2 linked regions of the Drosophila melanogaster genome follow. The protein of the gene in region 1 purifies or fractionates together with the protein of each later gene. This does not show direct contact. Each region holds a gene or a part of one and is shown in the gene's direction. Other genes may lie near its edges. The genes, in order: stv and STUB1.

Evidence for each region.
Region 2: the proteins of stv (region 1) and STUB1 purify together in Drosophila melanogaster (affinity purification with western blotting, with the first as the bait; one study listed by BioGRID). This does not show direct contact.

The regions. Positions count from the first base shown.
Region 1 is NT_037436.4:13,475,821-13,483,718, forward strand, and holds stv (starvin), read left to right. Parts: upstream 1-1,720; 5' UTR 1,721-2,407; coding exon 2,408-2,662; intron 2,663-4,623; exon of another isoform or gene 4,624-4,782; intron 4,783-4,943; exon of another isoform or gene 4,944-5,094; intron 5,095-5,212; coding exon of another isoform or gene 5,213-5,215; coding exon 5,216-6,549; intron 6,550-6,614; coding exon 6,615-6,933; 3' UTR 6,934-7,695; downstream 7,696-7,898.
Region 2 is NT_033779.5:10,435,438-10,439,833, forward strand, and holds STUB1 (STIP1 homology and U-box containing protein 1), read left to right. Parts: upstream 1-2,110; 5' UTR 2,111-2,401; coding exon 2,402-2,524; intron 2,525-2,603; coding exon 2,604-2,802; intron 2,803-2,863; coding exon 2,864-3,005; intron 3,006-3,153; coding exon 3,154-3,259; intron 3,260-3,318; coding exon 3,319-3,375; intron 3,376-3,444; coding exon 3,445-3,687; 3' UTR 3,688-3,803; downstream 3,804-4,396. Other genes in the region: holn1 (hole-in-one), read left to right, coding at 649-752, 812-1,004, 1,070-1,732; Nse4 (Non-SMC element 4), read left to right, coding at 4,092-4,182, 4,234-4,396.

The DNA.
Region 1 (7,898 bases):
ACGTCTGAAATGCATAAATGCCTGGCATTGCATTTCGCTCGTGTATCTACATGGCAAATTATAAAAACAAAAATCGCATGTATATATATAATCAGATATAAACGTATACAATTCACTTCTATATCTATACAGAGATGTGCAATATTTAATTATGAATTATTTCCATTTTATATGCCCTGGCGACGCAGTGGTTCGCCCAAACAACGAGAAAGTATTTGGAAAATAAATCTAATGGATAAAGATAGGTGGGCGTGCCGCCGCCGGCCGTCTGATTATATACATTCATACAGACGAGCATGCATATTCTCACAGATCTACAATTGAGGTTAATATACTAATAATGAAACAATTGAGAAACGTTTAAAGAAATCCTATCAGCGAAATGGATACGGAAATGATACAGAATAATTGTAATTATACCAATCGTGCCCCAGCAAAAATATATTTTTAACGATACTTTAATAAAAAAAATATTCTTGGCTAAAGCTTCAAGCAACCGATGATTCAATAAGTTATTTAAGTTATTTGACCTATATTCTGACCAACTTTGTTCTCAAATTAAATTGAATTAAAATTGATTTTTAAGTTTTTATAATTTTGTGATGGTCTCGGAAAACCCATTTTATCCAACCCTATTATGTTGACCAGAGCTGTACGCGTGGGTCACTTCGTGATTCAAAAGAAAATGCTTATGGCGCTGGTTGCTTAGGTGGAGTAAACATTTGGTCCAAACAACTGGCGGTTATCAGCTGATCGTTTTGCAATAACAGTCGACTTGCGAAGACATTCTGTCGCTACTGCACATTGTACATTTGTTTATGGCGAAAACTGAAAAGGTATCAAGTGCGGGGGAGCTGTGGCAACAGATCGTTAGTCATTGATCGATTGATTGGCCGCTCAACAAGACTCCGTCAGTGGGCGATGACAACTGTTTACGCTGCTGATTTTGCCTTCTTTTTGCCTTCGTGTTTGCCTTACTCGTTGCTGCTCTTTGGCGGTTGTGACGCAGTGGTTGTATGTAGGCGGCCCGAAGGCACTGAGATAAAAGAAGATTAATTGAATACTTTTGGTTAAAAATGGCATAATGGACCCGACGGTAATGGTAAGAGAAATACAGATTTTGATTGTCTAAATTAAGCATATTATAACTGATATTATAACTGATGAGCACAACAGTTAGTTTCTGCGTAGGAGTTTGATATTTATATTTTTCCCAATTTTATTCAAGAATTTATAAACCGTTTTTTATATCGCGAAATGGTCATATTCGATAGTTACTACCAACTAGAGTCATTTATCGTGCCAAATTTCCCGCAGTGTGGCTTACGGTTACAGATTTGAATTTTAGAAGCCATGCGACTGCCGAGGAATGCGTTTTAGAGAGCCGCTCTCTTGGCCAACTTTCTATTTATAAGTCTGATGTCTGATCGGTGCACGGAGAGAGAGAGAGTGGGGAGAGCGAGCTGGGGAGAGCGGATCGAGAGAACGGTATCCGTATCCGTAAGATAGTATTAAACATTTACCAATTAAGGTCTGAAACCGCCGGAGAAAAGCCAGGTAGAAGCCAAGCAAAGCTTACCGCGAGAGAAAGATAGAGGGAGGCCGAACGGAGAGCGGATGAGAATCGAGCGGGCGAGAGAGAGGGAGAGAGAGCGCCACAGTGGGGCTGTTGGCAAAGGCAAATTATACGGTAATGGTTAGAAGCAAATGGCGATGGCGCTCAGTCGACGAGCAACTTTGGCAGCGTGAGGACGCCCGTGTGGATGCGTGGCCCCGTAAAAACAACAACAAACAACCGAGTGGCAATGTGCAAAAATAAAAAATCTATATATATTTTAAATTGAATATAGAAATCCGAAAACCCACACTCGCACAAACACTAGCGCAGGGCCAGAGAGCGCGAGCGGAAATACTTAAAAAGCTGAAAAAAGTGGAAGTAAAAAAGTGGCCGTATCGGTGTGCGGCAGCTAGAAAGTGTGGCCAAAAGTGACATCACACTCCGGTCGTTTAGCAAAAAAGCAGCAGCAACAGCAGCAGCAGCAGCACCAACAGCAGCAGCAGGAGCTAAAGCATCAGGAACATACGAGAAGCCCCAATCGAAATCGAGCGGTATTCGCACGCGTCGTCGCTCAAGGTGAGCCCGCGCCCGCACCCCTCCATTAAAAGCCCCCGCCATCCTCGTGCACACCAGCCCGCGTCCAAAAATTAATCTCAACAACTGGCACGACAAGTAGTCGCCGACGAAAAGTCACAGCCAAGTATCAACAAAAGGAAATAAATTAAAAATTGTCGCTACGCAGCGAAACGTCGACGGATTCGATAGCGTTTAGGCCAGCGGTACGAGCGGTACGGATACGGATACGATTGCGATTACGGTTACGGTCTTTTCCTGGCCAGCGAATCATCCATGAAGCCCACTGTGATGGCGGCCAATCAGGCGCAAAGCAATCCCGCCACCGCCGCCGGTAATAATGTCTCACCCGGCGGTCCCGGTGTCAATATACCCGTAAACCGGGAGTACGTGAGTGGCGGCTACGGATCGCCACAGCAGTCGGCACAGTTCCACACTCCCCAAAACGCTTACGGATCGCCCAGGCAGCAGCAGCAGCACTTCCAGCAGCACCAGCAGGTTCCTCCAAATCAGCAGCAGCAACATTTTCAGGTGAGTGGCCCCCAGCGCTTGTCTGTCGAGGGGGGGAGGGGGGCAGGCGGAGAGGGTGGCAGACGAGCGGCAGCGGCGAGAGATCCCAAGGTTGGCGCCTGGCAAGGTCGAACCCCCACCCTCCAGATCTCCCCCGCCCCCAAAAAGCCTCGATCGCATAGCTGGGACATATTCGTATGAGTGTCATGGTTTTTGTTGTTCGCTAGCCGTGTGGCAATTTAAGTACAGTGGGGATTCTAGACGCGGAAACAGTTGGTTTGGAATAATTACAGTGGGTATTGTAGCATGATCTATGTTCAACTTCTACTCAGAAATAGAATAGGAGCTGACTGTGATAACTAAATCGAAATGAAGAGTGATTTAAATATGATAGTCTTGTCTTTAGTTAGTCTGCATCTACTACTACTTTTGTTTTAATTCAACAAAATGTACTTCACAGATACTTATAGGATGGCCAGATTTTTCTAAATACCTTGGGCATTTTCCAAATTACTATTAATGACCGACGAGCTTAACTCTTTGTTTGCGAAATATTCTTGGGTAGGCGATTAAGTTTTATTTATTTTACTGTGCTATGACACAGCGGTTTTTCCATTTGTTTCGCTTTTCGGACTGAATCCTTGGCAATTTCGCATTGCCTTTTAGCGCTATGTAAACTCTCTAAATCGCAATAAGAGTGCGGAACAATGAAAAAGTCAGTGTGGTTGCGTAAAAGCCTCTTCTACTCACCCCTCCACAAAGTGGGTTGCGAGGGAAAATCCAACCCCCTGCAAGTGTGTGTCAAGTGTGTGTGCACACTCTGTTGACCTACTGGGCATAAGCTTGCAGTATCTGCTGGGGGGATGGCCAAGTTTCTGGGCTGATGTCGTGTCAAGCGCTCGTCTAGTGGCCAACGCTGCGTATGATTAATGCCGCAACGCGTGCGGAATTTTACCAGAGACAAGTAATGTACAGCTGTTTCTTTGCGGCCTAATCTAATGGCCAGCAATCCAAATCTATCACGACCAAATCGTAGAAAATATTTGAAAATTTCTAGAAGAAAACACACAAGCTAATGACGCGTTGCTCTGCTGCTAATGCTCTCGTTCTTTCTATTTGGGCGCTGAGAATTGGTCGAATCGAAATAACGCTCTATACTATTGGCCCGCTCTTGATTCTTTAACAAAGTCTGCTGTGCGTGTCTGTGTCTTCCACTGTAGGTGGGCACACCGTACAGTAAACACACAATGGCACTCCATATGTGCGCATATCGGTGGAAGCATGCCAGTTGTCTAATGGGAAGCGTGGGTGGATTTTGGTTGCTCAACATCAACTTGGCCAACGCGGGGGCCTCGGCAATGCGTTGGTGACGTTGACTATATAAAAACGTCATCACCAACTTAACGTACAGTGGGTACGTGCTAAGGTGAACTTTGGACTTTAAACAGATAAAGGTGCCATGATAGCGAGAAGTTTAAGAACTTCTTGTAACCGCAGAAAGGCGTTTTTAAACATATATCTGTTTTACAAAAGGTTTCCCATTTAAAAAAAGCCTTATAAAACCTTAAAAAAATACAAATTTGTATACATACTCGTATATACGACAATTTCTTCAAGTGCGCTTATGTAAGAAAGCCAGTAAATTATCATTAATAATTGAAGGGTATTGTAAAACAATACTAATTGTTGAAGTAAACACACTTATCTTGTCCCTACCGTTCAATTCAGAAAATGTGATACAGTAAAGCCGAATCTTTTATTTCACTGTACTTCCACAAGTCACTTCGGGTAATTGAGTTGAACAGCAGAGAGAGCGTCCTTTTAGGAGAGACTCAAAATCGGTCGTCGAGCCGAACCGAGAACACTCGACTGTCTCAGAAACTACGAGAAGTGGCCAGAATCAGCCAGCGGATTCGAGAGTGGGCGCCATTCGCTTTAAAAGGCCTTCTCGGCCGACGAGTCGCCTCATTCGCACGTAAACAATCGGACGCAGTGCATCACGTCACCAAGCGGAAAAGCATTCAAAAGCTAAAAAGACATTCAGGCTATAGCTAAATACTCGTAAATACACTTGTAGCGAAATAATTGACGAGCAGTGAGCACAGCTCATTGATAAAGTTAACAAATTGAGCAGGCAAAAGGTAAGGTTCCGACATCGACATCGACATCGAGATCCATCCGCTCCCCAACAGCTGTTCATTCAGTGCCAATTGACATCACTTGTTTGCCCACACTCGTACCCAATCTATATGGTTCTGACTCACCCTGTTATTTATAAACAATTCGCCCACCGAGTCGAACAATTTGCACTCCTCTATTGCTACACAGAACAAATACATAGTTGATGTGAAACAGCGATTATTTTATTTAAAATACGATTTTTAACCGGATAAAAGCACTTTTACTTTCAAACCAATATTTGCAACTTAATAAACATGATTTAAATTATAAAAGTAATAACTATTAGAATGTGGTTGCTACCAAAAGAATACCTGCATATTAGAGCTTCTTAGCTAGAATCATTCCGAATTCATTATAATTTAATTATTTATAATTACTCTCTGTTGATAGCAGCCGACCTTTGGATTCGAACCGAACATGGACATGGACAACATGTTCCCGCGCTCGCACCTGGGCAGGATGCACGATCCCTTCGCCGGCTTCGGCGACTCACGTAAGCGGAGCAGTTTGCACGGTCCCAGTGGTCAAGTCCATGCTGATGATGACTTTCCATCCTATTTCGACGATCCAGACTTTGGTTTCCCCCGCTTCTCAACGATGGGCCGCCGAGGTCGAATGGCCGGTGGGGCCAACACTCACATGGACCACGATGATGACTTCTTTAATCGGCTGCCCTCGGAGTTCCGCCAGTATATCCCAGATGGTTTCGGAGGCAGACGTGGTACCGGAGCTGCTCCTGCACCCGGACAAGTTCCACAGCAGCAACAGCCGCAGCCACAGCCGCAGTACACCCAACAGCAACCCCAGACGCACTTCCAGTTCGGTGTGCCGCCCCAGCAACAGCCAGTCTATGCCGGACCAACCCAGCAGCAGGTGCCGCAGACGCCTTCAAAGCGCCTTTGCGATGCTGCCATCCAGACGGAGGATCCTGCCGGTCGCTCGGAGGTTGATTGTGCCCCGCCGACTAACTTGAACCAGCACGGACTGCGAAACACTGTCGACATGGGCGTGAAGAGTGTCGCCGAGCAGGATCAGGGACTGCGATCCCACTCCGCCCCTCCGCCAGAGCAGCAGCAGCAGAATCTGCAGTATCACCAGCAGCAGCAACAGCATCAGCAACCGGGAGTACATAGCCAACCGTTTGGCACCCAGACAAGTCCGCCCGTTCAGGGTCAGCAGTTCAAGACCTACTATGCGCCGCACCAGCAGACGCATCCCCAGCAAAAGCAGCAGACCCCGCCGCCAGCTCCACAGACCCCGGGTGGCACCTATGTGCGCACCATTCCCATCTTTGTTGAGGGTCGCTCCGAGCCCATCATCAATGCCCACAAGGAGATACCGAACCAGAACGCTCCGCCCAGTGCTCAGGCCCAAGCTCAGGCACAGGCATATGCGCAGGCGCAGCCACAGGCACACGCTGCTCCACAGCAGCACAACAGACCGACGCCACTAAACACCCAGGCGCAACCTGAGCAGCAGGTGCCAGTTGAGGGAGCCGCTGGATTGCCGCCACAGACACCACATACCCTCAACTCTATTAACAAAATCCAGGACATTCAGCGCGACGTACTGGAGCTCATGGGCAAGGTGGAGCAGTTCAAGGGAACGCGCGAGGAGAAGGAGTACGCCTACCTGGACGAGATGCTGACCCGCAACCTGCTTAAGCTAGACACCATCGACACAAACGGCAAGGACAGCATTCGTCTGGCCCGAAAGGAGGCTATCAAGTAAGTGACCAGAGTCACCAGAGCTCATTATCGAATTTAATTAATTCAATGATTGTTCCTTGCAGATGCATTCAGGCTTCGATAAATGTGCTGGAGGCCAAGGCCGAGGAGAATGCCAGAGCGGCATCAGGAGCAGCACCTGCACCTAGCGCAACAGCTCCAGCGGTTGACACAGGTGCAGTTGCTGCCTCGGAAGCGGCCGGACAAAATGCGGAGCCAGTGACTCCACAGCCACAGGATGCTACAAAGATGCAGGAACCCATCCCTCTACCAGCACCACCAAATGCTGCTGCCGTCGAGGGCGCAGCTGCTTCGGAAGCCACCGCCGCGGAGGCGACACAGTCCGCCGTTCAGTCGGAGACAACCACAACGACGTCGGAATGATGAACACAGCGCCTCTACAAGGCGACCGTTTCGAAGCAGCTACGCAAATTAACCAAATTTAAGTGACAACAGGCGGAGGATAGAGAAGAGTTCCGATCCCGACTCATCAACGGACAGCGACAGACTTGATTTTACTGAATTCAAAGTAAATGTGAAAGTGAATTTGATGTGTAATGTGAATGTGAATAGGAGGAGCTGGCGACGAATCTTTGCTAGTATTTCGTAGAAGCACAACCGTACTATCTAAACATATGCAAATCTCACGTGTCAACCACTCAACACCCACTCATCCCCACACATCATAACACACACACACACACACACACACCACACAGCGTAGATTATAGGCTAGTAAGAGAATTAATATTGAGAAAATGTGCCTGCATAGAATTCGGAAGTTAACAGAGCGAAAACGATTTGGCAACAAGGGTTGCTTCACTTAAAAGAGCTGATTATGTTTAAGCGATAGATGATCACCATGAGGATATTTTTGAACCTGAGTCCAGTTTTTATACGTAAATTGTACCGATGAGCAGCAACAGGGGCAGCAAGCCGCCGTATGATCTCATACAAATCTACAGCAGACGCGCTTGCTTGCCACAGGCCAACTCATCCATCCAATCACGCCGAGTGCACCACTCACGGCTTTGCTGCAGGTGAATTGTTAAACGAACGTAAACTCTTATAGAAAAAAAAAAAAAACTATGATAACTATTTATGCTACTAATTAATGCGAAAATAAATGTAGATATTGTTGACCATAAAACTGTGTTATCCTTCGGTTGCACAATTATCAAAGTTTATTATCGAAAAGGTTATAAATCTCGATCAATAATACATATACAAAAGAACCCTGGATCGGGAATGGAGCGGGCCTTAAATACTGACTAAGTGGTTACTTTGTATGTATCCTAAGAACATTTTAAAAGGACGCAACACGGCTTCGGCAATCGAGGCCAAACAAT
Region 2 (4,396 bases), on another chromosome or scaffold:
GAACTTTTTTCTCTGGTTAGCTTCTGGTTTGGCGGATTTTTGTTTGATTATGGCGGTCGCTGGTTACCATAATTTTAGGAATTGGTTGGCTAAACCTTTGATTCGACAATTAATTGTAACACAGCGGATTGGTGAAAAAAAAAACTATTAACTTTTGATTCTAGGGACCTCTCACAAGCAGGATGACATTGGAGGAAAAGAATTTACGCGAAAACTCAGCGCAGGCGCAGTTAACAGTCGATGGTTTTAAGACTGGTTTCGATATTTAATACTTTAAAAATGTTGAGGATTTATTAATTCAAACTGCAATGAAAAGGTATATTTTTAATAACAATGATAATATATTAAATGCGAGTAGGTGTATATTAATATCTTCTTATTCAGCTTGCAAATCAATCAAATCTAAGTCTATTTCTATAAGCTTTCTTCACATAATCATACTATATATCAAATGGAATACAAAACATATTATATATACATTAATTAAATATAATTTAAATAAATTTTAGAAACTACAGGAACATTGGTATTGGAACAGCATATGTTCCAGCTATCGATATCAGACTTACCTTCACTAACGTAAATAGAATCAATAGTCGCTTAAAAATATTGACATTGCATTTAGTTTTGTCTTGAGTTCTTGATAAAATGGCGAGCAAAAGAAAGCACCAAGCATCCCAGAAAGTGAAAGAGGAATCCTTCAAGAAACACACGCTTGACTCCGATGAAGAGGATTCTGACGACTACGAAAGGTAATGCTTAAAATGTGCAAACAATTGATTGTTTTGATTTCGGCACTTTTTGTTTGCAGGGAATACCTCAATGATAGCGACATTGAGGGCGGCGAGGAGGGCGTGGCAAAAGTGGAAGACGATGTGAAGGTAACACCCTTCAATATGAAGGAAGAACTGGAGGAGGGACACTTCGACAAAGATGGTCACTACCATTGGAACAAGGAGACGGAAGCAAAGGACAATTGGTTGGACAACATAGACTGGGTTAAAGTAAGGATTCCATCACTGCTGCCTGTACACAATCATTTAATTTAAAAGCAATATTTGCCTAACAGATTGGCACACAGAAGAACGCCTTCGACCCGGCAAAAGATGAAGAAAACTCTTCCGATGAGGAGAAGAACGAACCCGTGGGCAAGGCCTTTAACTTGTCCATGAACCTCATGAAAATGGTCGAGTTTATGAAACCGGGAGAGACTGTCAAGATGACCCTGCAGCGTCTGGGTAAGCAGCGCCCCGTCCTAACAACCCTTCAGAGGATTAAGCAGAAAAAGGCCGGCATCGTTGACCCAAAGACACAGGAAATCTCTCAGCTCACCGAGCTGGCCAACGAGATTCTCTCGAAGACGGGCAATATGGATATATATCAGGATACGTACGAAAGCATCAAGGCCAAGATCGCCGATTTGCCAGGAACGAGCAAACCTAAAGTAGCCGATGATATTGATATGTATGCAGATGATTTCGAAACGAAAGAATTGGAGCGCTCTAAGACATCGTCGAGTGATAGCTCCAAACCAACGACGACTACCTCAGAGGTGACCTGGGAGTTTAAATGGTCGCAGGATGAGACTGATATCCAGGGACCCTTTTCCACGGAGAAAATGTTGAAATGGTCCCAGGAGAACTACTTTAAAAACGGAGTCTATGTGCGAAAGTGCGGCGAAAACACAAATTTCTATACAAGCAACCGCATAGATTTCGATTTGTACTTGTAGGCCTTAGTTAACAAATGTTAAATTCTTTGGGTTTTAACATGTTTTCTGCAAATACTTTGTTCTATAATTGTATACTGTATACTTTACAAGAGGTTTCAATTAGTTTGCACTTGGTTTGGACTTAAAATAAAATTCATATTCATATTGATTCTGTCGGCTCTTAAATTTGGTCAGATATACCAAATTATGTATCCGAGTTACTTGCGCTAGTGACGAATAGCGAAAGATTCTTCTATTAGACCCACTAGTTCAGTAAGAGATATCTGATAGTCGAGAAACTCGAAAATGGCACTGTTGTTTTTGAAATGTGCAAACGATAGTGTGGCAAAAGTATCGTTTGGGCGGTGATAGTGCAATCGATGAATGTGCAGCTTTAATTTAAGCTTGTGAGTCTTGGCAACTCTAGAAACACATCGATTAACGTAGCTGAAAATTGTTTTATGTTTAATTAAATACAGGCGAATAGCTCAAGATCTTTTTGGTGTTATGAGCGTTCAAAAGTCACTACCGTTTCCCACTTAATACTTTGTTAACTGTTAAGTTCGTGCAGCAGTTCCCCAATTCTTGCAGAGGAAACAAATTTACGAGTGCTTCGGTGTTGTTGGACACACACTCACTTTTCATCGGTGGAAAATCAAATTTGGGACCAGGCGCAGAAGATTCGTCAGGATGACGACCAAGCACATCTATTCCACGACCAATTTATCAGATCTGCAATTAAAGGAGCAGGGAAACTGCTTGTTTGCAGCCCGAAAATATGACGACGCAATAAATTGCTACTCAAAGGCCATCGTAGGTGTCTCACATATTTTTGTTATTGTGATGTGTATTTTGTTGTTTACATGTGCACTATGCTCCATATAATATGTAGATAAAGAACCCCACAAACGCCACATACTTCACAAACCGAGCCCTCTGCAACCTGAAACTGAAGAGATGGGAACTGTGCTGCCAGGATAGTCGGCGCGCCCTCGACATCGATGGGAATCTGTTGAAGGGTCACTTCTTCCTGGGCCAAGGACTCATGGAAATCGACAACTTTGACGAGGCTATAAAGCACCTTCAACGGGGTTAGATAATACCTGACCTTTGATGTTCTCTACACTAACTAACCATATATGAAACTTATAGCATACGATCTGTCCAAGGAGCAGAAGCAAAACTTTGGGGATGATATTACACTACAGTTGCGACTAGCTCGCAAAAAGCGCTGGAATGTTATGGAGGAGAAGCGAATACAGCAGGAAATCGAGCTGCAAAGCTATTTAAATGGGTAAGATGTTATTCGAATTCTCTAGATGCCTTTTGCAAACTAAATTTAGTCACCGCACGACGATATCGAGGCAATTGTTGTCCTCATGTGATAGAATATATATTAAAAAAAGCGAAATTTGTGCAAAACCTAAATATTTATGTTTCAGTCTAATAAAAGGGGACATGGAAAGCCGTTTGGCCAATTTAAAGCTGAATGGAAATGTACACGATGAGCAGCTGAAAGACAAGCAACAGGAAATTGAGCAAGAATGCGTAAGTTGGACTTTAACCAGAATATTTAGCGGAGTTGACAATCTAATTTTACTTTTTAGGATGACCATATTAAGGAACTTAACAATATATTTTCTAAGGTTGACGAACGTCGAAAGGTAAGAAACTAAAGGAAAAATAACCAATATTAAAAATATTGTTCTAATATTGTTATTTACATATTACAGAAACGTGAAGTTCCCGATTTTCTATGTGGCAAAATAAGTTTTGAAATATTAACAGACCCTGTGATAACTCCATCTGGAATTACGTATGAACGAAAAGATATAGAAGAACACTTGCAGCGGGTTGGACATTTCGATCCTGTGACACGCGTTAAGCTCACTCAGGATCAACTAATACCAAATTTTTCAATGAAGGAAGTGGTTGACTCTTTTATTGCCGAGAATGAATGGTCTTTAGATTATTAAGTTACTTATTAGTTGGCATTGTCATTGTAATTGATTAGATGTTAGAACCCAGTTCCCATTGTCTAAAAACCAGATAAGTGATAATAAATGTGGATCTGCAATTGAGATTTATATTGTAAATGGATAAATTGTAATTATTAATAAATTAAACAGCATAATGTTCAAAATATAAATAAAAAAGCTTTTGCACGATATCGATAGAGAGTTAGCGGTAGTGTGAAAACAATATAGTTTCGATCACCCGTTCCAGTTAGTCAAAAAGTTGGTGATATCTTGACCAAACAAATTATCGATATACAGCTGCTTACAGATTTGCAGAAATCATTTTCAAAGAAATTTGTTTATGTGAATTCACAATTGGATTAACTTCGCTCTTCTTTGTTTAGTATTTATTTAACAATAATATGGATTCGTCTGAAAGCCAATCGCAAATGGATGACCAAGATGCTCGCATACTGCGTCTGCAAAATCTGATCGAAAAGAATATTGAGATAGGTAAGTTAAATCATAAATTACTAATATCTGAAATAACTATATGAATTGCAGAGCAACAAATCGAAAACAACACCATCGGAGAGTCTATCACGGCCATAGAGGAAATCATTCAGACAGCCAACGATATCAGCAAGGGACATGAAGACCGCCGTACAAACTCCACGGAACTTGTCCTGGACACGGAGCTACTGCGTCGCAATTTCGAAGTTGTGGG